Cricetulus griseus: one gene and its partners. The protein of the gene in region 3 interacts with the protein of the main gene of each other region in a pairwise test. Links are inferred from orthologs where the notes say so. Each region holds a gene or a part of one and is shown on either strand. Other genes may lie near its edges.

Region 1 (7,460 bases), on a different chromosome or scaffold from region 3:
GACAGCTCCCAAGGCCACGCCAGCTGCTAACCTTTCTGATTCCACCGTACTTGCCCAACTGTTGCCACGCTGTTCGCTAGGGCAGTGTTTACTGAATACTGATAATCATGTTAACACTAGTTACTGCTTAATGAGCATTCACTTCTAGCCAGGCACTGTACTTAGTGTTTAAAAGCATTATACTAGTCATTCTTGAAACCTCCCAATTGGGTCTGTCCTTTTCATGTCCTCATTCTTTTCCCCATATGTGTTTGTATTGTGTGTGTGGGTGTGTGTGCGCGCGCACACACATAGAAATGGATGGTAGGTATCTTCCTCAGTCACTCACCCATTATTTTTTAAACAGGGTCTCTCACTGAACCTGTAGCCCACTGATTGGCCAGACTGGGTGGCAAGCAAGCCCTGAAGGTGTTCTTGTGCCCATCCCTCCATCACTGGACTGATAGGCATACGCTGTTGCGCCCAGCTTTTTATATGGGTGCTGGGGATCTGAACAAAGGTCCTCATTCTTGCACAGAAAGACCTTTTCCAGACTGAGCCGTCTCCTCAGCCCCCCTTTGCTCATTTTAAAGATGAGGAAGCTGAGACTCAGAAAGGGTCAGCCACTTGCCTAAGGTCACACAGCGAGTCAGGGGAGGTCTAGATGCTGTGGCCAAGCCTATTTGGTGAGCATTTAGATACAAAGATGCTCTTGCTACTTCTGGTTCCAGCGGACCCATCTCACTTCACCAGAGTGCCCCAGCTTTCCTGCCCATACCCAGATGGGCACTCTGACATCACTCCTCTGTCAAGGGTACTCGCCAGCAGGCAGAAGTTGGTCAGAGCTCTCTGCTCTGGGAGCCCCTAACCTGAGTCCTTCCCACTTCACCTTCCCCCAGATGTGGAACGTGGAGCGTGGGCACTGGGACACAAACTGTGCTCCATTATGGTGAAGCAGGAGCAGAGCCCAGAGCTGCCTGTTGACCCTCTGGCTGCCTCATCTGCCATGGCTGCTGCTGCTGCCGCTATGGCCACCCCACCACTGCTGGGTGTCAGCCCCATCTCCAGGCTGCCCATCCCTCACCAGGTGAGCCTAGGGACCACTAATGGGGCTGAGGGAGGGAAGTAGGCTGAGGGGAGACAGAGGGGAGTGACACCCAATGTCCTGGACTCCACTCCAGGGCTCCATGAACTGAGAACCTTGGGGACTAAGGTCCTCTGCCTCCCACACTGACCACCCCTTTACCATCCTCCAGTAGGCACAAACAGCAGTGCCCACCAAGCATGCTGGGCCCTCCCTGCATGCAGAGAAAGCTTGAAGGGCACCAGGCAGGACTGAGGTTAGTTTTGAAGTCAAGATACCCCCCACCCCGGGGGTACTTCCTTTCCTGTTAAGTTTCAGGATTTGGAGAAAGATGAACATGTAAATGCAAAAAATAGTGTTATATTTTAGTCTGTATTTAGATTAATAAGCTGCACTCATAACAAACCCTACGTCCACTTCCAGAGTGTATAGGGAACCTCACATTGCCTTCTCTCTTTTTTCTTCAGCTTCCTTCCATGTAAAAGGTGCAAGCCACAAGGCCTAAAATTCTATAGCTTAACAAACAAACAAACATTAATCCCTAGGCAGGGGGGTTGCCTCCTGCTGACCACCTGGGTTCAAAGTAAGCAGTCTTAAGCAAGAAAGGTCACCCTTCCTGCTCCCAAGGTTCCAGGGAGCTGATTGACAACCAGCTACATCCTTAGGGATTCCAGAACTGGCTTAGCTAAAGTCAGGGGGAGGAAGGGATCACAGTGGAAAAGGAAACGGAGGCTCCCAGGAGTTAAGCCACAAATCACAGTCAGAAATTTCGAAGCCGCTTTCCAAGTTTGGTCTGTCAGACCCTAGAGTGGAGGGTTCCCACTATAACCAGTGCAGGCCACTGGGGCCAGTCTGTAGAGAGCCATATGAACCACTAAAGTGCCTCTGCCACTCTCCATCACAGTCCCCTCATCTGTAGTGCTGACACTGAGCTGGGTGTAGACCAGGGTATGGCCAAGTTCCTGGACACCCAGCACTATCCCTGATTCTTCCTCATTGTTCTAAGTTCATCACTCTGTCCCTCACACAGTGTAGTGATCTCTGCTACCAGCAGACCCAGTGGGGAGAGACAATCCCAAGAGCCACAGCCTCCTCACTGAGATCACCATTAACGGGCATGTTGGTGATGTTCACATGTACAAAACCACACATGTTCCTGAAGCCCTTTCTAGAACAATACTTTGGAATTTAAATAAATAAGAATGTACATCTGAGCTGGGTGGTGGTGGTGCTTGTGCCTTTAATCCCAGCACTCAGGAGGCAGAGACTGACGGATCTCTGTGAGATCAAGGCCAACCTGGTCTACAGAGCAACTTCCAGGACAGCCACGAAGAAAAACAGAGAAACCCTGTCTCAAAAAAAAAAAAAAAAATGTACATCTGTTTTCACCTGTGCCTTACTTGAAACCCCTCAAGGGCTCTCACTGCTGCAAGCTTCCTTATATGTACTCGACTTCAATTTGTGTCCCAGGATCCATGTCATGTTTCAACTTTCTCTGAGCCTTAGCCAGTTAATTCCTCCTGAACTATTCTTCTCATTCATCCAACAGTTAGAGTGAGACTAACATGACCTCCTGTGCTCATGGTAACCACATACCAAGGCCTACATGGCTTTCATAGTTGGTGAAGGGGCAGCCTCTGTCTACCTGGAAGCTGGCATGGCCCCAGATGCCACAGGAACTATGCATACCTCCTGAGATCCAGTTCTCACCTACAGTGTGTAGCCACCTTCTCTGCTCTTGGGTGTAGTATGGCTTGTCTAAGCATAAGAACTTGCCTCTCTGTTCTTTCTGGGCTGAGCCCAGGACTCTTGAGACCAGCCGTTGTTCCAAATATTCCGGAGGGAGGGAGGAGTGTGAATGACATGATGAGGATTGTTCCCCTGGGCAGGTGATGGAGCTGAACCTGTCTCTTCCTCAGGCCCCAGGAGAAATGACTCAGCTGCCAGTGATCAAAGCAGAACCCCCAGAAGTGAGCCAGTTTCTCAAAGTGACACCAGGTAAGTATGTACAGGAGACTCTTTCTGATCCCAGACAGGCACTCCCTCTGTCCAGACCACGCCTGTCCCTCAGAACTCCCACTTCGCTCCCAGATGTTCTCACCTCCCCAGTAAATGAGAATTCTTTAGCTATCTATGCTCCCTCTTTTTCCTCCAGTCTTTCTCTACCCAGTCTTCAGCTGCCATCGTTCTACCAACGCCAGTCCATTTGCTGATCTTCTAACATCCACTCACAAACTGAAGGCCACTTTATAGTCAGTCATCCTTCCTTCCATCCATACATCCATCCCTTACTCAACCATCCACTCATCTAACTATCCATCCACCCATCTACCCACTTATCCATCCAAATATCCGTCCATCCATCCACCCATCTGTCTATCCACTTATCCATCGATCTATGAATCCATCTCTCACTCTACCACCCACACATCTATACATTCATCTACTCATTCACCCATCTCCACATTCATCCATTCGTCTAACTAACCAACCATTTATATGCCCATATATCCATCAAACCATCCACCAAATATCCATAAATTCATCCATCTACCCATGTAACCATCTACCTAAACACCCACCCGTTTATCTATCCGTCCAACCAACGTTTATTGGGTACCATCTTAATTGTTCCAGGCATTGCCAAAGCAAAGAAAGAAGACAGTCTCTGTACCCGAGTAGATCACATGGTTCCTAGGGTCACAGACTCAGCAGTGATATGGGTGTGCAGATAGCAAATCCACAGGGAGCCTGTACAGCTCATTGGGCCGAGGGAGCATGGTCAGCTTCTGTGAATTACTGGAATGAGAAAGGGTAGCAGAATCATTCCAATCTCACCACATTAATTTGTGAATACTGATTCAACATCTATATACATGTGTCAAGCCCTGGGCTAAGTATTGTAAAACTGGACATATGAATAAGATACTGTTGGTGCTTACATGTTGAAGAGCAGCCAGAACACAGACAAGGCGTGAGAAAGAACTTGTGTTAAGTCACCTCGTACTGTGGAGTTCCTAAAGCAGTTCCCCCACTTACCAGCTCACTGCACCCTTGCGGCTTGGAGCTGACTTTTTTCAACCTTATTCAGTAGATGAGGGAAGTGAGGCTGGGGAGCTCACCAAGACCACATGTATTGGAGTCATTACAGTCAGAACTTGATCTCAGGTCTGTGGATTCCAAGCCCTTCATTCTTTTTGGAGTGGGATCCATAAGAGACACACAAGCATCAGAGGAAGGAGAGAGGCCTGATGTGGGTGCCAACCTGCGCCAAACCCTCCACTCCATGGCCATGGAGCCCAGGTTTCCACACCTAGAGCTACCTGGGAGTTATGTGCCACCCCCAGAACTTTCCCAGCATCTCTGCTAGCTGCTGAGCCTGAGACACCTCTTTCTGATGCTTGCTCAGTGTCAGTCGTCCTGCTGCTCTAGCCATGAAGGGGACGGTGTGGAGGAGGAGCATCACTCCTCACCACTCTGCTGCAATCCCGACACCTGCCATCCTGTTCCTGAGATTGGATCAGTATTTTAGAGTCAGAGAAAGGAAAGGGTAAGGACTGGTCCACCTGAGCCCGGTGGATCTGCGTGGGGACCTTAGTCCCCTCTTGGCTTAGAGAGAACCTGAATCCTGCAGAGCCACAGGCAGGGAAGCATATGGCCCAGGAGCCCCTCATCGAGGTTGCAGGGGGCTTCCTCTGAGCTATCAGAGATAGGCAGTACTCAGCCGTCATCTTTTTGTGTGCCAGATGTCTTCCTGGGACTGCCAAGGGCCTTCTGATACTCCAGCCGAGGTTAAGTGCCTATAGGCACATTCCTTTGGTGACAGGGCTGGCACAGCTCATGTTCAGCTGAACTCAGTGTCACACAGACACAGGGTACAACCCTACTATACTAACCTAGCCCTCTACTTTTTGCAGAGGACCTCGTACAGATGCCTCCAACACCCCCCAGCAGCCATGGCAGTGACAGTGATGGCTCCCAGAGTCCTCGCTCTCTGCCCCCCTCCAGCCCTGTCCGGCCCATGGCCCGCTCCTCCACGGCCATTTCCACATCTCCGCTCCTCACTGCCCCTCATGTAAGCACCTAGGGGTGGGCTGACCCTGGAGGTGAGATAAGGAGTACGTTCAGCTAGTGCCATGACCAGTGAAGGGGTCAGGATACCCCACATCTGATACTTATCCCGTTAGATACAGGGAGATGCCCTTCTGGCAAGTAAGGGGGCATTTTTCACTTCTGCCTTGGGATGACTAGAAATCAAAGGTTCCAGAAAGGCCTAGAAGCCATACTGTCATGGAGCTGAGAACCTGACATTTCTGTACTCTGGCAGTGACCCAGGCTATCCCCAAGGAGCACTGTTTGGGGGCAACATGGAAAGAGACCCAAACCCTGAGGGCATATCCTAAATTGAGATTATGGGGAGGGACCTGTTTCCGAAGACCTGGGGAAATGAGAGCACGGATTCTAGTATAGGGCGGGGAAGGGGCCTCCCAAAGCCCCCCTGACACTCGATGCATGTTACTGGGCTTAACTCAGATGCCTCCCCTTTTCCAAGGGGGAACCGAGGTTCAGAGAGCTGAGTACACAGTAGTGCTCAAATTCGAACCCCAAATTGCCTGTTTTCTTCAGAAACTACAGGGGACATCGGGGCCACTGCTCTTGACAGAAGAGGAGAAGCGAACCTTGATCGCTGAGGGTTACCCCATCCCCACCAAACTCCCCCTCACCAAGGCTGAGGAGAAGGCCTTGAAGAGGGTACGCAGGAAAATTAAGAACAAGGTAAGACTAAAGCCATCCCTACCCTAAGACTCTAGGGACCTCTGTTGCCTGGTGACATCAGTTCTAAAATTGGGGACCACCTAGGAAGTGGATGCATGGCAATGGTAACCCTTGCTTTGGAACTTCCTTCTTTAGATCTCAGCCCAGGAGAGCCGTCGCAAGAAGAAGGAGTATGTGGAATGCCTAGAAAAGAAGTGAGTGTTCCAGAATGGGCAGAGTGCTGTCCTTAGTCAGAGGCCCAGCTGCAGGCAGTGGGTGGCAGTAGGCGGAGGGCAGGGCCAGTGAGTCTGTGGGGAGGCCTTCAGCCTCTGCCTGCTTGGCCTTCCAGGGTGGAGACATATACATCAGAGAACAATGAGCTGTGGAAGAAGGTGGAAACCCTAGAGAATGCCAACAGGTGAGTGGTACCCCCTGTGTCCCACCTATCCCACTAAAGATGGTGGCTGACTCTGGGAGGCAGGAGAGAAGAGAGAGAACCAGGTCGGAATGATACTCCAAAATGTTCCCCAGGACTGTCCTGCCAGTCGCCGGCTTCCCAGCTGTCCTTCACTGCACATAACTCTAGACATCTGGCAGGCTGGTGAGATCTTAAGAAAGACTATACAGGGCAGAAGCTCTCCAGATGTGCTCCACAGCATCTGCCTCTCAGCCTGTTAGAAATGCTTTTTCTCTCTCGCAGGGCATGTCAGCTCATGTCCTTAGTCCCAGCACTTGAGAGGCAGAGGCAGGCAGATCTCTGTGAGTTCAAGGCCAGTCTGGTCTACATAGGGAGTTCCAGGACAGCCAGGACTGCATAGAGAAACCCTGTCTCAAAGAAACAAACAAAAACAAAAAATGCTTATTCTCGGGCCCAGAGCTGGGTTTACTGCAGGAGGGAGGGAGCAGCAATCTATGTAGATTTTATTTTGTTTTGAGACCGAATCTCAAATAGCCCAGGCTGGCTTCAGACTCACCAAGTAGCTGAGGACAACCTCCAACTCCTGATTCCTCAGCCTCTACCTCCTAAGTACTAGGGTACCAAGTGTGTCATTATGCCTGGCTGCAATCGGTGTTGCTGTTGTTTGTTTTATGTGTATGAGTATTTTTCCTGCATGTATGTCTGAGCAACACATGCATGTAGGTGCCCATGGAGATCAGAAGAGGGTGTTGGATCTTCTGGAAGTAGAGTTCCACATGGTTATGAGCTGCCATGTGGATGCTGGGAGCTGAACCTGGATCCTCTGGGAAAGCGGCCAGTGCTCTTAACCACAGAGCCACCTCTCCTTCCGTGTTTTAGTATGCCTTCGAGTAGTTCCCATGACTATTAAATCTGCTGGCCTTGCTACTCAAAGCCAGTTCCCTATTACAACCTGAGAACTTGTAAGAAATCAAGAATTTCAGGACTTTCCTAAGATTGTTAGGTCAGAATCTACCTAGCATGTGTTCGTGTGTGTGTGTGTGTGTGTGTGTGTGTGTGTGTGTGTGTGTGTGTATGTTACCCATGTGTGTTATCTGTGTGTATGTATTATCTGTGTGTGTTGTCTCTCTGTATATGTTATCTGTGTGTGTGTGTGTGTGTGTGTGTGTGTGTGTGTGTCCAGAGATCAACATCTGGTGGCTTCCTTGGCTGTTCTTCACTTTA
Region 2 (7,460 bases), on a different chromosome or scaffold from region 3:
TGTTGCCGCCTTACTGGAAGCCTCCTGCTGTCTTTCACCAGTCCCAACCACAGACAGCTCTGAATAAATTATCCCCAACTCAGCAGCCTGGGTATTGGACAGCAAGATCCTGGTGTCTCCTCACACAGGACAGGCCCTCATTTCTCTACAGTGTACCTCTGGGAACAGCCTGAGGAAGTGAATTCAGGACCACTGCTCAGCCTAGAGGAACAAATCCTTAACTCCACATTTGAAGCCTGTGATCCTCACAAGACAGGTGGGGGCTGGGTCCTTCAGGAACAGGAAAGTGACCTGGGTAAGGGGATGGAGTAAGAAGGGCTTGAGGCCTGGTAAGAAGTTAGCCTCTGGCCTAGTACAGCAGTGAGTACTGCCCTGGCTCATCCTCTTTGGTCCACTCTGAGATGGACAGGAAAACTTGACTCAGGGGAGAGACTTGCCCCAGATTCCTCGGCATGCCATGGGGCAGCCCTGTCACCAACCCACTGATGACAGTCACTGTCCACAAGCCATAACCTGCCTTACTGGCCATTGCCCAGTCCAGTCCTCCCCACCATGCTCTGTCCCAGGCACTGTGGCTGTGACACACCTCCTGGCATACCTGGAGGCTGTGACAGGACAGGGCCCCCAGGATGTGCGTCTCCAAACACTGGCCCGAAGTTTGGACCCTTACGGGGAAGGTGCTAGAGCCACTGTGGAGTTGGACACCTTTCTGGTAGTCATGCGGGACTGGATTGCTGCCTGTCAGTTGCATGGGTGAGTCCCTGCACCAACAGCCTCCCACTGGCAAGTCTTTCAAGTTTGCTCTGCAGCCAATACCAATTAGGCCCAGGGAACCCATGTGGTTGGTTTGAGGCTAAGAAAAGACGTGAAAAGATATGGAGGGGTAAAGGGTCTGAGGACTAAATGCTGAGGTCCAAGAGATAGAACTACAAGGGGCTGACAGTAAGAAGGGTTGCCCTTCACAGCCCAGGCCCTGCATCTGGCCTTTCCCTCCACCCATAGAGCCACTCTCACTGACTGCCCGCCCCTTCGCCACCCAGACCCCTACAGGCACGGGTCATGGCTGTGGTGGCTGCAGGGGACCTGAGCCTCTTGCCTTTGATACAGGGGATTAGAGCGAGCAGAGGAGACTGCCTTCGGGGGAGCCCTGGCTTCTCCACACCTGCCATCTGGTGAGACTATTTATAGAAGGAGACGGGTGGCAGGGGTCAGCAGGGGGGTTAGCAGGGACCTCTCATCTACTAATTCCACACAGCAAGGACTAAAGAGACAACTGGGGCTTTTGCTCAGCCTGCAGTTGTGGTGGATTTCTGGGACAGTCCCCTCATCCTGGACTTTGGGGTCAGGTTTTCCATTCCTTCCTCCTAGCTCCAGCCTTTTTGTAGAGGCTGAGACTGCAGCTTCCTTGCTCTCCAGCTGAGGGGCCCTAGGGCACCTACAATATTGAAATCTTTGCATGGCTCAGGGCAGTCTTGGCCAACTAGGCTCCTCCTCTTGGCCCTGCCCACCCCTACCCCCACACACCTTACACCTGCTTGCCTTTCCATGACAGCTGTATCCCAGCCCTATGCTAGGGCACTGGGTGCCCAGGACCTCACACCTTACAGGTGTACCACTAAAAAGTGCCTTACAGAACCCAGACTGCAACCCTCTTGACATTCTCTTTTTGTTTGGTTGGTTTGGTTTCAGTTTGGGTTTTTGTGAGACAGGGTTTCTCTATGTAGCCCTGGCTGTCCTGAAACTCACTCTGTAGACCAGGCTGGCCTTGAACTCATAAAAATCACCCTGTCTCTGCTTCCTGGCTGCTGGGATTAAAGGTGTATTCCACCATGCCAAGCTCTTGGCATTCTCTTGAACCTTGAGGCTTTTTCAGTCTTGGGGGTCAGGGAGGAATATGAGCAGCAAAGGGGCAGGCCAGGTCAAGTAGGGAAAGACAAAGAGAGAAAGGAGGCTTAGGAGGAGGCTGGGGAGTGCCCAGGGAGAGAGAGTATGGTAGAGTGAGGGTGAACGTGGCTGGAAATAGAATCAGACTAACTGAAGTCCAGCAACTGGCAGATGATGAGGGCCTGAGAAGCCTGAAGACTTGAGGGAAGCTGGGAACGGGAGAAGAGGGCTTGGGGAAGTGAAGGTGCCCCTCTGAATACCTGGCTGAGCCCCAGGCAAGCATAAGCAAGAAGCCTATGTAATAAGAGTAATTCAGCCCAGGGAACCCCAAAGCTACATATGGAAAAACTGGGATGCCAGAATCCTGGGATAATTCGTGGGTCCTTTGACACCCAAACTTTTAAAGTCACCGGAGAGTCTAACCTCCTTTTGTCTGTGTCTTTCCAGCATGCCCAGAAGCAGAGGAGCCAGCCAACTTAGAGAGCTTTGGAGGAGAAGACCCCAGGCCTGAGGGGTGCTTGTCCTCCCACCCCCATCCCACTCCATCTTCTCCAGCCTATCTGGGGCCTGGGAGTGGGGAGACTGATGTCTTTTGGCTCTGGACAGCCTTGGAATTTGATTCTGATTTGTCTCCAGAGGAACCCTTGTCCTAGTTGCCAGCACCTGCTCCACCTAGGAGGAGACTAGGGGGATGAGAGCAGGAGCAAAGTTGGTGACCAGGCCCTTCTGCCCTCAGGCCTGCCACAGCTGAGCTGCTGAGCAGCCTAGAGGACCTAGAGCTCAGCAACCGCCGCCTTGCTGGTGAGAACGCCAAGCTGCAGCGCAGCGTGGAGACTGCAGAGGAGGGCTCAGCACGCCTAGGAGAGGAGATCTCAGCCCTGCGCAAGCAGCTGCGAAGGTGAGTAGCTATCTGCCTTGCTACCAAAGAGCCTGGGCCTCAGGTACAGGCAGCCACTCCACTACCCAACCCATGTCTTCCATTCATTCCCTTCTATCTGGGTCTTGTCGTCTAGCCAAAAGGGTCCAGTCTGACTGTCACTTGCAGCTCTTGTTCTCATTCTTTCCCCCCTTCCTTTCTTTGCTGTGTGACCCCATGACCTCTTCCTCAGATGAAAAGTGAACACTGTCTCCACCCCACACTGCATGCTCCCTGTCCCTTTCTCTCTGTTCCCTGTGCCCCTCGTTCCAGCTTGTGTCTGTCATAGTCTCCCCTCATAGTCTGGGATGTTTTGCTCTGCTTCTCTGCCTGCCTCCTCTCACATCTGTGCCACCCATCAGCACCCAGCAGGCCCTGCAGGTGGCCAAGGCTTTGGATGAGGAACTAGAGGACCTGAAGACTCTGGCCAAGAGCCTGGAAGAGCAGAATCGCAGCCTAATGGCCCAGGCCCGGCACACAGTGAGTGCTAGTAGGGTATATCTGGCTTTAGCAAAAGGGCAGAAGTGAAGGGGCAAAGGTTACCTACTTCCAGGTCTTGTTCACCCCCAGGCCCACCTGCTACCCCTCATGAGCCCTCAGCCCAACTCCTCAGTGATAAAGGCCCTGACTGTATTCCTTGTTTAGGGAGGGTGATAGGGTGGGAACTGGAACTGATTCTATCCTCTCTGGGATGGGTCAGGAGAAGGAGCAGCAGCACCTGGTGGCTGAGGTGGAGACGCTACAGGAAGAGGTAAGCTGAGGCTCACCCACCTTTAAGGGTTCCTGCACCTGTCCTGCAGACCAAGGGGGCCCAGGGTCCCACAGGCTGTGTGGTATTCCCTGGGTTCGTGTTGAGGCTCTGGCCAATTCTTCCCTTGTCTGCATTGTGGTGCCTTCACAATCAGGGGAGCAAGCCAGTGGCTTCACCACATGGGGTAGTGTGAGGTTTAAACCAGAAGATGCCTAGAAAAGTCCTAACTCAAGGTAGGATATGTAGGGTGTGCACAGTAAAATCCTGTAACCTGGCATAGTGTTCCATGCCTTTCATCCCAGTATTTCGCAGTCTGAAGCAGGAGGATTTTGAGTTCAAGGCCAGCCTGAGCTATATAACAAGACTGTAAAGAAAAAAAATGTCAGGTATCATTTATATCAGTGTGCTGGTTTGATTCCTGGCAAAGCAAATGAAACTGCAAAAACTTATACATTTATTAAGCATAGGTTTGGAAGTTACCTGCAGAAGCATGATGGACCACCTTCAGGCCTGTGACTCTTCCCTTCCCCTCTAAGCTTTAGTTTTTCATTTTGACAGTGCTGGAGATGGAGCTCTGGGCCTTGGGCATGCTGGGCAAGCAGCCGCCAGGCCTGGGAGCCACAGCAGGAGCCTGCACAGCTGGGTTGCAATAATTGTGAAGTGATGGTATTTACCTGAGGGCCAGCCCCTACAACCCAGACCTATTTAGGTCCCTGTTCACTCGGAGTTCATGCCCACATTGAAACCCATCAAGTGTTAAATGATATCAATGCCATCCCTCCTCCCTCGAGGTGGCAGATAAGTTGCAGATCCATGATGGGTTCATATCCCAGGCAGCATTGGTCCTCACTTGACCCCCATCCTCTACTTAGCTTTCCATGGGGAGGCCAGAATTACCTTCAAATCTGGGCTTAGCCCTTGCTCTACTTGCTGATGCCTGTCTCCTCTCTGGGCTGTGGCTTTAGCTCAGCCTCCCAGGGTCACCTGGGGGATCTGGCTGCTTTCCTGCGAAAGCACACAGCTGCACCTATGTGGTCTCCCTCTGCTGCCCTACAGCAGTTCTGGGTGAGTGGGAGGGATGCTCACTCAGAATCAGGTGTCCCCTGGTTCCCAGGTCTGTCTCTGCCCCCTTGTCAGCCAGGGCTTTTCAGCCCCAGCTCCAAGTTTTCTGCCTGTGTCTGCAGTGGGCTTTTTACTGAAATCCTAAGTCTCTCTTCACTGTTCTGTGCCTCCTCTGTGAACTGTTATCCCCCTTCCAGGGCAATGGGAGCCCCTGGGCAGGATGGCTACTACATTCAGTTGGGGTAAAATATCTTGTAGAGCCTGGCGTTGGTGGCGCACGCCTTTGATCCCAGCATTCAGGAGGCAGAGACAGGCGGATCTCTGTGAGTTTGAGGCCAGCCTGGTCTACAGAGTGAGTTCCAGGACAGCCTCCAAAACAATACAGAGAAACCCTGTCTCGAAAAATCAAAACAAACAAAAGAAAATACCTTGTAGAACATTTTTTTAAAGAATTTAATTTATGTCTGAGTGTTTTGCTTGTGTGTATGTCTGTATACCATGTGAGTGCCTTGAGTGCCTAGTGCCTTTGGAGACCAGAAGGAGGGTATGGGATACTCTGGAACTGGAGTTACAGGTGGTTGTGAGTGCTGGGAATTGAACCTGGGTCCTCTGGAAATACAGCCAGTACTCTTAGCCACTGAGCCATTACTCTAGCCCCCAGAGCATTTTTTTGTTTTGTTTTGTTTTAAGAATGAAGGAGAGCCGGGCGTTGGTGGCGCACGCCTTTAGTCCTAGCACTCAGGAGGCAGAGGCAGGGGGATCTCTGTGAGTTCGAGACCAGCCTGGTCTACAAGAGCTAGTTCCACGACAGCCTCCAAAGCCACAGAGAAACCCTGTCTCAAAAAAAAAAAAAAAAAAAAAAAAAGAAGAATGAAGGAGATCGGGGCTGGAGAGATGGCTCAGAGATTAAGAGCACCGACTACTCTTCCAGAGGACCTGAGTTCAATTCCCAGCAACCACATGGTAGCTCACAACCATCTGTTTGGAGATCTGGTGCCCTCTTCTGGTGTGCAGATATATATGGAAGCAGAATGTTGTATACATAATAAATAAATAAAATCTTAAAAAAAAAAAAAAGAATGATCTAATGTCAGCACTTAGGAGGCAAAGGCAGAGGCAGGCAGATGTCTGTGAGTTCAAGACTAGTCTGGTGTAAATAGTGAATTCCAGGGCCCTGTCACAGATCACAGGTGATGGTTGTCCTGTTCCCTGATGTCTGCAGCACCAGTGGGCTGCAACATGCCAGCTCCAAGGGAACAAGCCAGTTCTGCCCAAAGCAGTTTCTGGTCTCTGGGTTATCTGGTGGCTCAGTGGCTTTTTCTTAATTATTATTGTTTATTTATGAAAGTGCTGCTCTGTCTGCATGTATGCCTGCACACCAGAAGAGGGCACTTGATCTCATTAGTAGATGGTTGTGAGCCACCATGTGGTTACTGAGAATTGAACTCAGTACCTCTGGAAGAGGAAACAATGCTCTTAACCACTGAGCCATCTCTCTAACCCTGTTTGTTTTTTTTTAAGTGATGGTATGCTGAAAATGGAACCCAGGTTCTGGCATGTGTTAGGCAAGCAACACTGAGCGATATCCCCAGCCCTGGGTTTTTTGTAACAGGGTCAGATGGTGTAGTATGGACTGGATTTGAACTCCTAGTCCTTCTGCTTTAGCCAGGTAAGATCTGGGACTGTAGGCAAGTTCCTGCATACCCAGTCTCTTACCAGTTTTTTGTTTTGTTTTGTTTTTCCTGTTTGTGGTCTCATAGTCGCAGATGACTCAAGGCAGATGGGGAGGCACCAGCCCCCCCCCCCACACACACACACACTCCTGTCTCTCTATCCCTTAACCACAGCTGGAAGAGAGCCTGGGAGGATGTCTTACCTTCAGCCTGGAGCTAAGATAGTCAGCAAGGTGGGGTTGGGATAGCTGCTTCTTTAGCAGGCAGGTTTCCTTGTCACTGCCCCAGGGCATGCAATGCAAGACAGCAAGAGTCAGCCCTGTGAACCAGCCACCAGCACCCCTGCCTCCTGCCCCAGGCCCAATCTATGCCCTCAGAGGAACTTCCTGGGCATGCTAACTCCATAGCTAGAGCTATTCTCAGCTCCTTGCTGGCCTTCTGCAGCTACCCACTGAGATCTAGAGATTGAGATCTCAGGTTACAGCCGGGCCTGGTAAAGTAATGGGACACTCAGCCTCCAAAGGTCTGGCTGCTGGCTGAATCCCAAAAACCCACAGCCTGTGCTTCTGCAGAAGGCTGCAGGGTGCTTTTGGGTCCCACCAGGTGGACAGGTGTTGACACAGCACTCCCAGCTGTCCTTCCTCTGCCCTTCACCCAGCAGCAGCCCAGACTGCTGAGTGAGAGGCACTGATGACCTGGAGCAGGAACAAGGCTGGAGACCAGAAGAGGTAGCCTCTGTCTCCTAGGGCTCTGGAGAAGGATGAGGTGTGCCAGACTTCAGGTATCCGGAAACTTGGACTTTGAATTGTCATATTCTGGTTGGTTTGTTTTTTGAGACAGGGTTTCTCTGTGTAGTTTGGAACCTGTCCTGAACTCTCTCTGTAGACTAGAGTGGCCTTGAATTCACAGAGATCCATCTGCCTGCCTCTGCCTCTCCAGTGCTGGCACTTAAAAGTGTATGCTATCACCACCTGGCCTGTTTTTGATTTTTGAGACAAGGTCTTGGTATGTAGCCCAGGCTGGCCTGGTACTCAAAGCAGTCCTCCTACCTCAGCTTCCCTGGTGTTGAGATGATAGGTGTATTTCCTCACACCCAGATTTGGGCCATTTTATTCTTAGGTCCCACTGGGCAGCTGTTGTGGGTGACTATTCCTGACCTCATTGCCTCCCCTTG
Region 3 (6,748 bases):
TGTGAGGGCGTCAGATCCCCTGGAACTGGAGTTACAGACAGCTGTGAGCTGTCATGTGGGTGCTGGGAATTGAACCTTGTTCCTCTGGAAGAGCAGTCGGTGCTCTTAACCACTAAGCCATCTCTTCAGCCTCCCTCCCCCAACTGCTTTATAAAAGAATCTAGTTTGCTCTCCCTCCACAACCTATTATTAGTTCCTGCATCCATACCTGGTCTCCCTCACCAGGAAGTGGGGGCTCATCCTCCACGGAGCCCAATTGAGTGCAGCACCAGAAGAGAGGGAACTCCTCTCTCTGTGCATAGTTCTATGCTGTGGTAGACGCCAATTTTCGGTAAGCACTGCAGGAGGGGAGATGAAAACTTCCCATGGGCTTGAAGAGTCTTCTGTCTGTCTGTCTGTCTTCAGGGAGCTCGGCTGAGACAGAAGAGAGGAACTTGTAGGGGAGCTCTGTCCCATTAGCCTAGAGCAATACCTGCTCTGTAAGCTTCTGTCTAGACACACACTAGGGTCAGTGCCCCTGTTCTGGAAGCCCTGGGTCCTTCACCTCAGAAAGCAATAGGAGGACAGGAAGGACTATGAAATAAACAAGCCCTCAGAGTTGAATATACCTGAAGTACACCCTGCTGCTGGCCCAGGTAACCCGTAGGCTGCAAGCCTTGTCACTCAAGGGGGACATGCAGTGATGTTGTTTTTGACAAGAGCAGTTGCAAGGTGGGGTCAAGGTGGGCTGTGGGGCTAAACGTACTCCAAACCAATAGTCTCAAATGCTAGAGGGAACACAGTGGTGCTAGATGAAGAGAGAGGAAGTTAAACATCCTGAGAGATGCCCGTCTCCAGATCTAACCTAGCAAGGAAGCATCAGTCTCTGCGGCTACTACACAATCCACAGTCTGTGCAGACGTGGTTCTCAGGAACAGCCTGATCACAGAATCACCTTCCCTCACCGATCAAGACGTTTCTTGGCCAACTCCTCTAAAAACATTTCCTTTCTAAGCCTTCCAGAAGCCTCAAAGGATAAACCAGAGTCTGAAATGGTTAATTCCAAACATTTGTACTGGAAGGGCTCCCAGAAAATGGGGGAAAGCCTGGACCACATTTAAAAATCAAAATTACACATCTCTTCTTTGAAATGACACCTGGCAGGCAGATGCTGTACACCCTCAGTTTTTTTCCTCTTTCATCTTGCAACCTTCAATATGTGAGATGTCTTTAAAAGAATAAGCAGTTCTCTGCCCTCCTGGGAGTACCACACTGACACAGGTGCAGCTGGTCCTCTCAACCCATCCCCACATCACACAAACCATCACCCTGAGGTACCTCAACTTCTGAATTGAATTTTGTCTGACTGTGAGACGCACTTTCTGACACCCATTTCACTCTTGCTGTTCAAGTCAAGAAACAGTTGCCAACTACGGCTAACAAATGGTTTCTTCTTATTATTATTATTATTGAGATGTGAGCTCACAGAAGAACCTGGGGTCCCTGGCTCAGCGATGGGGAATCTGAGCACCCACTAAAAATTTCAGATTCCAGCAATCAGAAGGAAGGCCAGAAGGCTTCTTCAGAGGAGAGAAGGATCACCACAGCAGGGTAGGTACTCTGAGGGAACAGGTGGGAAGAACCAAATTGGGTAGCTCACACTGGGGTTGGTTCCCGGGTGAGCCTTTGAAAATGAAAAACCAAATTGGGGATGAGAAAGGATTCAGGCAATACAGCTTCGAAGATGACCAGAGCGAAGAGAGCTGTCACTCCTCTCATTCTACCGAACATTTTTGAGGTGGCATTGCTAGAGGACTGGCACGGAGAAAAAAATTTCTCAGAGGGCAAAGGCTTTTGCAGGAGCAAGAATAGTCAGGGACAAGAAGGGCCTTTTAGAGTCTGGGTTGGAAGTTTGGGTTGAGCTACTAAATGAAGCAGAGAGGAAAACCCGCTTCCCTCACATCTAGAGCAGAACCAGCTCTTCTCCAGGTGGGTGTTTACAGCCTTTCTTGCCCTGGGGAAAATTAAGGAAACACGCCCACCCTTCCCACACCAATTGGCCTGCCTTCGAGAACAGCCAGTCTTAGCAGCCAGCTCTGAGAAAGCTGATGGACAGTCCCCGGGGCGCATCTGGGAGCACCGTCCCCCTCGTCTCTCTGGAGCTCCGTCCCCTCTCGTCTCTCTCTGGAACTCCGCGGCCCGGCCGCTTCATCTGCACCAGGCTACCAGGCAGAAGCAGAGTTCACCTTTGGGGACCGACCCCAGAACACCGAGCTGTCATCCCTGGAGAGCGAGGACGCTGAGCTGATCCTGCGCACCTGGCGCCCGGCGCGCGTGCACACCCCGAACCTGGCCCGGGCGCGGAACGAGCGGTCCAGCAGGAGGTAGATGACCGGGTTCGCACAGCTGTTGACAAAAGCCAGGCAGGTGGCGATAGCCAGACCCCAGCGCAGCGCCAGCAGCAGCTCGCAGGGCAGCGGCAGCGCCCGGAGGCGCGCCAGGTGGAAGATGGCGCGCAGGACGCCGAAGGGCAGCCAGGAGCCCACGAAGACGCTCTCCACGGCGAAGATGATGCGCAGCGAATTGCTCCGGGCCCTCCCCACGCGCGGCAGGCGGCGCGACACGCGGCAGTAGCAGGCCAGGGTGACAGCCAGCGGCAGCGCCAAGGTCAGCAGCAGCAGCAGGAGGCCGAGGCCCTGGAGCGCATCCGACGGCTCTTCGGCGCACTGGCTACCCACGCCGTCGGGGCTGGGCTGCAGCCCGCGGTACAGCAAGGCGGGCAGAGCGGCCAGGAACGCCGCAGTCCAGGCGCCGCAGCACGCGGCTCGCACACAGCACGGGTTCCGCAGTGGCCGCGCGCTAAGCGGCCGGCCCACAGCCAGGTAGCGGTCCATGCTCATGCCAGCCAGCAGCAGCGCACCCGCGCAGCGTGTGGCCGCCAGCGCGAAGCTACTGAGTTTGCACAGGCCGTCGCCGAAGGGCCAGAGGCCGCCCCTGGCCTCCGCCGCGGCCCACAGTGGCAGTGTGAGCACAAAGCCCAGGTCGGCGGTAGCAAGATGCAACACGAAGGTGTCCACCAGCCGCCGGGGCCCGCGCTGCCCGCTCAGCAGCCACACCACGAAGGCGTTGCCTGGCAGACCCACGGCGAAGGCCGCCAGGTAGAGCGCAGGGATGATGGCGTGGCCATAGGGCAGGTCCCAGGCCGGGCAAAGCTCTATTGGATCCAGGGAGCCAGAGCCCGAATAGTAGTAATAGTCCCAGGACGTCGTGCCCCAGCTGTGGCTCCAGGCCTCGGTGAACTGCATGGCTAGGGTCACTGGACCTGCGTGCACCCTGGAGCAGTGCAGTTCTCTCTGAGCAGAAGGGAGTTTGCTTTTCACGGCCAGTGCCCAGCACCTCCCTTCCTGCCACCCCAGGCCGAGGTGAAGGGGTGAGCAGGAAGGTGGAGGGGGAGAAGAGTGTGGGCCGGGAGGGGCAGACCTCTGTGGTGGAAATGGTGGCTTCCAAGTTGGGGCTGGACTGGTAACTGTGAGGAGATGTCCTTAGGGCTGGGAGACCTGTGGCCACTCAGTGTTGATGGCTCATCACTTCTGGGTGCTTGGCCTATTATCTGGGCCAGGGGGGGTTTAATATGGGGTTCAAGGGGCAATGAGTGCCCTAGAACTCTAACCTGTTCTCGGTTCTCACCAGGAGTTGCTTTTGTTTCCTAGTGTTTAGAGGGGAGGAGACAGACCAGGCACAAAGGGCTTCTAAAGGAGGACAATGCCTCATCTTCTGTCTCTAATTTGTTCTGCTGGGTAGCATACAGAGGAGGCCTAGAGGTTGAGGCAGCCTCTAATGATTCCTGATTAAGAATTGCCTCCTCCCCTCTCCCCTGCAAACTCTTAGACCAAAAGGTCTAGGTGTGTCACCTGGAGCGGCACTTCTGCTCTGGTTCAGAGCAGTGCAGAAGGGTTAACGCTAGAGAGGGAAGTCCTAGTTGGAGTCCCCTGCTGGAAAGGGCCCAGGTTCCTGGGTTAACCCTCTTCCGTCCCTATCCTTCAAAACCTTGCTGGTAAGTCAAACAGGGGCCTAACCTCTTACAAAAGATGACCCAAAATGGCCCCTAACAAAACAACAGATTTGCTATTCTAAATCGTGAGGTAGGAACTCAGAGACCCCTTGTGAACATAGGGGAAGGAGAAGGTTCGTGGATAAAGGTGTGCAAGATGTCAACTTGCATGGGATAGCAAGAGGAGGGGCAAGGGTGGCTGAGGGAAGACGTGCTTTCTATTCAAGGAGCTACACACAAATTCTTAACACAGATCCATCCCTTGACAGGCTGTGTTGGAACTAATGTTAACAATGCCTTCCCAGAGTCACTTCTGCTGTCACCAAGAATGAGTGACTGATGCATTGAGCAACCCTGGAAATTGGGGGGGGGGGGACTGGATTGTCAGTTTTGTTCCTTTCCATTCCATTAACAGTGACTTCTTCATGTGGCAGGCATTGTTCTTTGCATTTCAAGAAATGCACTCTTGACCTCAGACAGAATACTGAGGTGGGGAGAGACAGGTCGTGTGTGCAGTGGCCAACATGCCATCAGTCAAAACGTGGTCCATGCTTAAAACAAAGTCCTCCTAGTGCTTAGAAGCAAGGGCCATACTGCTGATAGGAAAGTGTTGCTGAGGGGCAGTGCTTCAGGTCAGGTCTAGGAGGAGGATAAGGGCCAAGAAGAATGGCAGAATAGAGAGGATGAGCCAACCTAGGAGGAGATAGAAAAGCAAGTACACTGAGACAGTAGGAAGACACTGCAGGCTGTGGGAGCCTAGGGGAGGAGTGTAGGAGTGTGAGCGAGCAGACAACAGATGAAACTGGCAGTTGTCCCTGTGCCTGCCCCTGAAGAGCTTCGGGTGTACATCTGATATGTAACAACCCTGGCAGGACTCCACCGCCAGCTGTTGTGTTTGTGACTGAAATAGACAATTATTATTTTATTTTGCAGGTGGCAAGGTCTCCCCCTCATCAGGCAAGTGCTCTGCCACTGAGCCACGTCCCAGCTCCTGACATAGTCATTGGTAGAAGGGACAGAAGGGAGAGGAAGTGTCAGGATCAGTACAGGTCCCCCCACAGCAAGGATTTGAGGTAGGCCTGGGCTTTCTCTTTCTGAGGAAGAGTGTGGAAGATGTCTCTGTGGTTAAAGGACCAGAGCACAGAAGGGCAGCTGTGTGTATGGCCCGCTTGGCTTTGACTGGAAGTAGGATGATGAGGTAATTTATGATCCAAACCAAGACAACTGAGAGTAAAAGAAGCAAGGCAGCAAACAGTACTGTTGTGGGCAAACTGGGCTATGGGATACCCCTGGGTTGAGTCTCTGTTGATAAATGGAGCACTTCCCTACCCGGGTAGGGAAGTGGGATGGAGCTAGATGAGTTCGCATTTCTGTCCAAATCCAGTTCTCATAGAGTAAGGGTTTTTAAGCTAGAGAGGGAGGGTGTAGCCAGGTTGCCTTTATGTAAGGGGAAAGGGCCTGCTTCTACCCTGCAAAATCTACCCCTTAGGTCAAACGTGCAGAGCTTGGGGTACATATCTAGTCTGTTCCTGCCAAGAATTTTTTCCCTGGGCTGAGGAGATGACTCAGTAGGTAAAGGCGCTTGCTACCAAGTCCGAGGAGCCTGAGTTCAATCCCCTAACCCACATAGCAGAAGGAAGGAACCTACTTCTGCAAGTCGTCTGATCACACGTGTGTGCCATAAACACAAATGCCCACACACATACACGCATGCACTAAAGAATCGTAACAGCTTTTAAAGTTACAAGCCGGGAAAAGGTAGTCAGACCAGGGAGTGAACCTGGCTGATCTCATTGTGGGCTCCCACATGATGCTGGTGTGCTGTGTCTACCTTCTGGTCGGCCCCGGTGCTACACACAGCCTCCTTCCCTGGAAGACCAGTGGGGCAGAGCCTAGCCAGAGGCCAGGCCCAGTCCTGAAGAACTTTTACCACTTGGCACATCTCAGTCCAGGGCTCCAAGAGCATGAGTGATCATGAAAGCTAGAGACAAACAGTGAAGCCACCGCAGGGAGAAGGCAGACCGGGGGCAGCTGCCAAGAGGGGAGGGGAGCAAGGGGCAGAGGGGAAGTAGAAGTAGGTTGTTTACTAAAAAACACAGATTAGTGCTTCCTGGCTGTGGTCTCATACCCCAGGGAAGTCTGTTTGAGCACATAGGGTGGATTTTCTCTGCTGGGGCCCAAGCACAGTGACTTTTTCCAGCTTGTCTAGCAAAGGCCAGAGTGAAGGACAATGCCCTGGACACTTGTGGCCCCCAGGCTGCTTTGTGAGGTGTGGCCGACTACTGTCTCTATGCCCCCCAGGAGGACTCACCACAGGGATACAAACAAGTTAGCCAATTGAAAGATTCATCTTTCCCAGCCCAGAGTGTTGCCGATTCTCTGACTAGTGTGAGAGGCTAAATAGAAGTGGCTGGCCCTTTTTCCATGGGACCCCTGGAGCCTTCTCTGACACCATCTCTCACAGGCCTCTTCTGTCTGTACTGTGTGTGTGTGTGGGGGGGGGGCAATGGGCTGACTATTTTGTGTTCCATTCTGCCTGTCTAGGGTACTGTATTGTCTTTGGGATGAAGGGAGAATAACGTGGACAACATTTAATCTAGGAAGTTTCCCACCCCCCTACATAGGCTGAATTTAAAGTTTCAACGTTTCCCACCACTATTCATTTTTTTCTGTAAAAAATTATCATAATCTTCAAGGAAATTTTTTTTGGAAATTATA
Region 4 (7,186 bases), on a different chromosome or scaffold from region 3:
AGCCCTCTTCACACCCACAGCCCTCTTCACACCCACAGCCCTCTTCACACTCTTACCCACTTCACACCCTACAGCCCTTGTCACACTCTTACCCTGCTTCACACCCACAGCCCTCTTCACACCCACAGCCCTCTTCACACTCTTACCCGCTTCACACCCTACAGCCCTTGTCACACTCTTACCCTGCTTCACACCCACAGCCCTCTTCACACTCTTACCCACTTCACACCCTACAGCCCTCTTCACACTCTTACCCGCTTCACACCCACAGCCCTCTTCACACTCTTACCCTGCTTCACACCCTACAGCCCTCTTCACACCCACAGCCCTCTTCACACTCTTACCCTGCTTCACACCCTACAGCCCTCTTCACACCCTACAGCCCTCTTCACACTCTTACCCACTTCACACCCTACAGCCCTCTTCACACTCTTACCCGCTTCACACCCACAGCCCTCTTCACACTCTTACCCTGCTTCACACCCTACAGCCCTTGTCACACTCTTACCCGCTTCACACCCACAGCCCTCTTCACACTCTTACCCTGCTTCACACCCTACAGCCCTTGTCACACTCTTACCCGCTTCACACCCACAGCCCTCTTCACACTCTTACCCTGCTTCATACCCTACAGCCCTCTTCACACCCACAGCCCTCTTCACACTCTTACCCACTTCACACCCTACAGCCCTCTTCACACTCTTACCCACTTCACACCCTACAGCCCTTGTCACACTCTTACCCTGCTTCACACCCACAGCCCTCTTCACACCCACAGCCCTCTTCACACCCACAGCCCTCTTCACACTCTTACCCTGTTTCACACCCACAGCCCGCTTCACACCCTACAGCCCTCTTTACACCCACAGTCTGCTTCACACCCTACAGCCCTCTTCACACCCACAGTCCGCTTCACGCCATGCTCTCTAATTGCCTTCATTTCCATTCCCCCTTCCCCTATATGAGTACATGTTTGACAGTGTCTCGAATTTTGGTAAAATTAAGATGCCCCTGTTTTTATAAGTAAACAATATTTTTTTCTTCTGGAAGAAGAGTGGCAATTCTCCCCAAAGGTAGTGCTGCCAGTTGCAGCTCTGCCCAGCGGGCAGTGGTCCTCAGAATGTGGCCAGCCCGTAGATGGCAAAGGTATCAGGGATGTTCTGTGCCAAGCTTGTCTCCTGCCCTTGTCACCATGTAGCCTTTGTTTTGGGCTTCGGAGAGCAGAACCAGCTTCCTTCATTGGTGCCTGCACCTTGGGGGCAGAAAGAGAAGGTTAAGTCACGTATTGAGCTGGAGCAAGACCTTGTCATAAGACTAACCCTGGAGACATTTCTTTGCCCTTTCATTTCCCGACTTGTGTTGTGTTAGTCTGTGTGATGAAGGGAACACATGACAGGCACTGAAGGTAGACGTCTACAGGCTGTGCCTTTGGTCTGGCTTCCGCGGTGGTGTAGCTGAGAGGGCAAGGACGTGGCTGTCCTGATCTGAAGCAAACCTTTACTAAGGCTTTGGTCTGCCTTGGGCAGGTTGTGTTGATTGTTCTTGAGGTTTTAGCAACCTGCGAATTGGGAATAAGAATGCAGTCCATAGAGTTTTGAGGAGAGTGTGCCCATGTCTGACTCTTCACCTGAGTAATTAGGGGCCAGATGCTGCAGCTTGATAAAGGGGCCTTCTGTTTCTCAGCAGGTTGTTTTTGTAACTGTTTTAAGTGTTTGCACAGCACATTTTGTAGGGCACTGTCCATGACCACCTGAGTAAAAGCTGATTTGGATGGAGGTGACTGCCAGTTCTCCCACACCAGGTCCAACTACTGGGAGAGCCTGTGTTGCCCTTGAGCTGACAGTGTGCAGGAAGCTGAGAGCAGTGCCTTGTTACCTTGGCCTCGATGTCTTGTGTGGGCATTTGCTACTAAGCTGTCAGAGACTTTCCTGTGCTAGCTGCCTGTAGGAGGAAGGTCACTGACTGGCTACCCTGAGCCCGGCAGAGCACAGGCATTCTTCACTGACATAGAACTAACTGTGTGCAGTTGACAGTGAGCTGGGGTTGTCAATACCCTAAAGAGGGCAATCCCATGCAGTGCTCTGAGCACTCCAGAGTGCCCGTTGGGTATTTCAGCAGAGGAGTTTCTTCCGCACCTTGGGTTTGATGGCTTTAGGGTCCAGGTCATGTGGCTTGGAGCATGAATCTTACCTCTTGGATCGTCATCATTAAATTCAGATTCAGATACGGGGGTACAAGAGTCACCCATACTCAGGTGATGTTACTGCTTGCTAGCTAGTCTTGTTCTTGGTGCAGTTTGATGAGCTGGTGCAGGTGCTGCGGAAGTCTGTCTGCCCTGTGGCTTGTAGGCAGTTCTCAGAGACTGTTGTCACCAGCCACTAAGAACCTGGAACTGGTCCTTGCATGACCCCCTCTGACTCACACATGGGCACACATGCACAGTGTGGCATTGGCGTGTTCCTGTGTAGCTCAGTGCTCTCAGGTGTCCCGTGAGTGTTAGTGTGCCATCCTGTTGACTGCTTCTGCCATGGTTAGGGTGGCAGTGCTGTGGTGCCAGAGAAATCGATTGCCCTAGCTGCTATGCAGGGTCGGAAGGGTGAGGGTGGGTGCCTCCCTTTTCTCAGTTGTCACCTTGCTGCTTTGCTGACCTGTCATTCTCAACCCCTTCCCCGTGTCTAGAAGGGGATATTAGTGAGGAACCTAGCCCTCACTGGTGGGTGGGGGTGGCGTGGGCAGGGCCATTCTGATGCAGTAGTGGAATGGCTCTGTGGTGAATGGGCCCCACTGGTGGTTGACTGGTCAGCCAAATCCTCCTCCTCCAGCTCTTTAGGGAGTGGGTACCCTGTCCTTTAGATTCCAGTTCCTTAAGGAGAGAATGCTTCCTGGACCTGTGCTGCCCATGAAGTAGAAACAGGCAAGCTTGGGCAGGCGGCCCTAAGGAGCCAGGCAGCAAGACTGCAGGGTTTGCAAAGTGTGATAAATATTCAGGAGAGCGAGTGCATTTAATCTTGTCATGTTAAAAATATTGAAGTCTCAGCAGACTTAAGTTCTTTATTTGATATACATCAGGGCTTTCTCATTAAGAGTATTTTTCTGAAATTGTCAGTTATAGGAGGAGAATTATTCTTCCAGCAGCTTGATAATACCCTGATTATTAAATTTAAATTGTTTTAGTGGAAGGAGGCAAAGCCGGAAGACCTTATGGATTCAAAACTTAGATGTGTGTTTGAATTACCAGCAGAAAACGCTAAACCAGTAAGTATGTCTCCAGTTAACAGTAATCGAACGTTGCAGGCAGACACTCATTTGCATGCCATCTCCTGTGAAACAAAGATTTAAACTGGCAAATTATTTTCCTCCCTCTAATGTATGAAGGAAAAAAATCAGCTGAAGTCAACAGATAAGCTGGTATTATAACATCAACCTTGGCAAAGACTTGCAGAAAATGGCCAACTGAAATAGTTTCCCCTTGAGCAGAGTAACCTGTTAGCAGCTGCAGTCAGAATCCCAGGGAGTCTTTGCTTGGTGAAGTGGGGAGACCAGAATGGGGTGATTGGCCCTTTTTCAGGGCGCTCAGACAGGTGGTAAACTCTCAGAGCATCCTGTCAGTATTCCCCTCAGCATCTGCTCCCCACCAACTCCCTCAGTGCCGGTCCTCCTTGAGATGAGAGTCTCTTGGCCTCACTGTTGTTGGCATGTGTTTACATCCTGTGCCGTGTGGGATATTGAGCACCGAGCACCCACTGTCCCAGACCCTGCTCCCTAGACACTAGCAGTACCCCCAGATTTTCATGGAGGTTGTTACACATCTACTGCCCCAATCTGGGCCCTCACTGGGGACCAGCAGAAGACAGGAGATGGTTTTTCAAATACTGATGTACACTTCCCTTCAAAGTAGCCGGAAAAGGTAAAATTGTGTCAAGAAGTAAGAACCGTGGGTGATCTTTAGGTCTCTGCCAGTGATGGACGGAGCTGGGAAGGCAAGGCACGCTACAGTGTCTTTACACATGACTGTGAGGAGCCCAAGAATGCTGTTGGTTGCTGTCAGAACTGCCTGGTTTCTTCTGCTCTATCATCAGCTACAGCCATCTCTGGTTATTTGAATCAGAGAGAACATCACCCTGTTGTAGGAAAGTTAGAAGCAGGGAACATGGATCATGACCCCCAGCCCCCTGATAATTGGGCTCCAGCCTGGACTCTGGCCTCCAAGGCTCTCCCTTCTGTGGGAGGTGAAGGGGGCTGGAACTAGGTGTCTGATTTTCAGATTGCCACCCAGAGCCTCAGGCCACCATTCTGAGTGCTCCTAGCCCTGCTTCCACTGACTGGCTCATCCTCCAAGAGGGTACCATGACTCCTTTTATGCAGGGGAACACATTTGGCCTTCAAAGCTTGTTCGTCCTCATCCCTGCTTGTAAGGTGGTCCATGTGTAGTCCTCTCTAGGCCTCCTACCTCCCACCCCCAGCGGCCTGGGATGCTCAGCTCTCCTGCAAAGGTAATTTGCAGCTGATAATTCCTGAGCTTGCACAATTGCAGTATGTTAATTTTTGCATGGCAGGAATTTGATAGTGCAGTGTGCACAGCCCTTTTCTCCTCCTTGAAGTATTCGCCTCAGCCCAGCTTCATTATTTGCCCTTATCCATAGTTTCTAGGGCCTGGTAGCTTTAGATTATCAAGATACTAGATAAAGTGATGCATTTAAAAAATAAATGTGACATTTTACAGTGTGGATGGAATGCTACCTCATGTACTGTGTACTGAGAAATACTTTGCATAAAATCCTTGCTCACATAGTTGGTGACCCTGGGCTTTCCTTTGTTTCTGAGCAGCACGATGTAGAAATAAATAAAATCACACCTACAAGTGCACCCAAGACAGAAGCACCGGCAGCTGCCAAGTCCCTGACGTCGTCCCTCGATGACGCCGAAGTGAAGAAAGTGATGGAAGAGTGCAAGCGGTTGCAGGGGGAGGTGCAGAGGCTGCGGGAGGAAGGCCGGCAGCTCAAGGTAACGCCTGCTCGCCCGCCCGCTCGCCCTTGCTGAGCAGCTTCTGTGGGCAGTGTGGGTTTGGTGTGCTGTTTTGCATTTACTTCCCCAGGAGACTCACCTGCAGAGCTTTCTTTTGGGGCTCCTGAAAGGGTGTTTGGATTGTACCTGCCCAACTGTTGTTTTCCTCAGAGCCAGACCCATCCCCACTCCATTTGTCTAAGTTGAGCCAGCTCTTTGAATATTCACTGTCAGACCCCGCTTTGGCCAATCCCTTGGGTGGTCTTGGTTGGGGGCCAAATCATACTATATATTTTTTTAAGATTTTATTTATTTATTATGTATACAACATTCTGCTTCCATGTATATCTGCACACCAGAAGAGGACACCAGATCTCATAAGGGATGGTTGTGAGCCACCATGTGGTTGCTGGGAATTGAACTCAGGACCTCGGGAATAACAGTCAGTAATCTTAACCTCTGAGCCATCTCTCCAGCCCCCATGCCCATACTATTTTAACACAGGGAAATGAGTTTTGAAACCTCTGATGTGGGTCCGGGCAGTAGAAGCTCCTCAGGCTGCTTGGTAACAAGAAAGCACGGTGTTGGCCCAGTAGAGAGGTGGAGGTGAGAAGGGGGAACCAAGGCATGCATCTGGCCAGGCTGTGCTGGGGAGGTCAGACACCCTCAGCCTAACAACCTATGTTGCCGGCTATACAGTTTGCATACAGTCTTGTCCACTCTAGGCCCATTTCTTAGGCCTGTTTGTTGAGTGTCTCTCCGGTTGCCTTCTAGCTTGAGAACTGTGGATCTGTCTGTCTTGGATGTGGATATATACCCGGGCATCTGATTATAGGAGCTTTTGTTGCAGCTTAAATTTTGAGGCCTATTTGTTCTTAATCTTGATGATGCCAGCCAAGCATGTAATAGGTTTCCCCTCTTTGCCTGCTGTGGCAGCAGATGTACACAGCACACTCGCTTAAGCCAACTCCCCTGCACCCCAGCTCTAAGGTAGATGTAGGAGGGTGACAGTTTGGAAGTGGCCTCAGCGTCTTCGTTTGCAAAAGCTTCTCTTTGAGTGCGTCTCTCCTCAGAAATAGAGCTCTGCACCATTTACAATGATCTATAGGTCGGGATAGCTTCTATGTAAACCCAATAAAATAAATGCTGTATTTTGCTGTGCCCATTTTTTTAAAGTTAATTGAACACTGCAGCTCGTTCATCACCGTGCTGCGGTGCTGGCCTTGCCCATGAGCAGAATATCTCTAAAATAATATCAGAGCCATCTTGACAGGGGGGCATGCTTTATCCTGCCAGACATTGGCTTCTTGTTCAGTGAGATCTGCCGTGTGCCAGGCGTCTCGGGCTCAGCTATGAGCAGGCTACCCTGGGGAGCTTCCTGTTAGTGGGGCTGAGGGAGAGACGAGACAATGATGGTTACAGCCCATGTCCTTAGTGGGCCCACAGAGAGCTGCAGATCATGGGAAGACTGCACTTGGCACTTGGCAGATAAGGAAGTGGAGGGGAAGGGTGGAGTGTCAGCTGTGTGGGAGGCCTCAGCATGGAGCGGCCTGGCCTGGCCCTGCGGAGCTGTGGCGCTCGGGAAGGGCACTGGAGGATCCTGCAGGTCCTTCAGGCAGGGACGGTGGAAGACAGATACCTCGGACCTGTCTTAGGGGTTTGGTGGGGGTGGCCTGGCAGCTCTCTTTGGAAATGAGAAGCCATGAACTCGTCGTAAGGTATATATAGTGGGCAAACGAAGGTTTTCTCTTTACCAGCTGTGGCAGCAGTTGCACACAGTATGTGTTTCCAATTCCAAGGGTTATTTGATTCGGTAGTGCACCTGGATCTCTTGCCAGGCTCATGCAGGTCCTCCACTGAATAGTTGGTTGTGGTTTGTGTCTTGGGAATACCTGGGATTTCAGGCAGAGATGAGTTGACTGGACATACTTGTAGGCTCAGGACAGGCCAGACGTCAGATCTGGAGGTAGGCAGAGAAGAGGTCAAGACATGGCCAAAGAGCCTCTTCTCCTCCCCCCTCAAGAGCTTTTCCCATTGTTCATGGGAAGCTGAGAGTGCATTTCAAGTTGGTGGTAGCAGAGAGCCAGCAGCTCTGGTAGAAGGAACACTGAGTCCAGGAGGGTCCTGGCAGTGGCTTCTCTCTAGGCTTCCATGTGCCTTTGCATTGTGGCTGGATCACGTC

The links.
Region 1: the proteins of Gpr25 (region 3) and Creb3l1 interact in binary tests that used the Homo sapiens proteins (3 or more experiments, as listed by UniProt). The two-hybrid records come from large-scale screens. The link is inferred for Cricetulus griseus from reciprocal best matches to the Homo sapiens genes GPR25 and CREB3L1.
Region 2: the proteins of Gpr25 (region 3) and Kash5 interact in binary tests that used the Homo sapiens proteins (3 or more experiments, as listed by UniProt). The two-hybrid records come from large-scale screens. The link is inferred for Cricetulus griseus from reciprocal best matches to the Homo sapiens genes GPR25 and KASH5.
Region 4: the proteins of Gpr25 (region 3) and Vapb interact in binary tests that used the Homo sapiens proteins (3 or more experiments, as listed by UniProt). The two-hybrid records come from large-scale screens. The link is inferred for Cricetulus griseus from reciprocal best matches to the Homo sapiens genes GPR25 and VAPB.

Annotation. Positions count from the first base shown.
Region 1 is NC_048599.1:84,748,453-84,755,912, forward strand, and holds part of Creb3l1 (cyclic AMP-responsive element-binding protein 3-like protein 1), read left to right. Parts: intron 1-878; coding exon 879-1,066; intron 1,067-2,982; coding exon 2,983-3,061; intron 3,062-4,980; coding exon 4,981-5,138; intron 5,139-5,689; coding exon 5,690-5,839; intron 5,840-5,974; coding exon 5,975-6,033; intron 6,034-6,167; coding exon 6,168-6,236; intron 6,237-7,460.
Region 2 is NC_048599.1:154,084,802-154,092,261, reverse strand, and holds part of Kash5 (protein KASH5), read left to right. Parts: intron 1-151; coding exon 152-256; intron 257-566; coding exon 567-753; intron 754-1,107; coding exon 1,108-1,172; intron 1,173-2,331; coding exon 2,332-2,398; intron 2,399-2,620; coding exon 2,621-2,782; intron 2,783-3,162; coding exon 3,163-3,280; intron 3,281-3,500; coding exon 3,501-3,551; intron 3,552-7,460. UniProt on the Homo sapiens protein: As a component of the LINC (LInker of Nucleoskeleton and Cytoskeleton) complex, involved in the connection between the nuclear lamina and the cytoskeleton.
Region 3 is NC_048598.1:53,012,714-53,019,461, reverse strand, and holds Gpr25 (probable G-protein coupled receptor 25), read right to left. Parts: upstream 3,285-6,748; coding exon 2,202-3,284; downstream 1-2,201. UniProt on the Homo sapiens protein: Orphan receptor.
Region 4 is NC_048599.1:5,228,970-5,236,155, reverse strand, and holds part of Vapb (vesicle-associated membrane protein-associated protein B/C), read left to right. Parts: intron 1-3,174; coding exon 3,175-3,255; intron 3,256-4,827; coding exon 4,828-5,004; intron 5,005-7,186. UniProt on the Homo sapiens protein: Endoplasmic reticulum (ER)-anchored protein that mediates the formation of contact sites between the ER and endosomes via interaction with FFAT motif-containing proteins such as STARD3 or WDR44.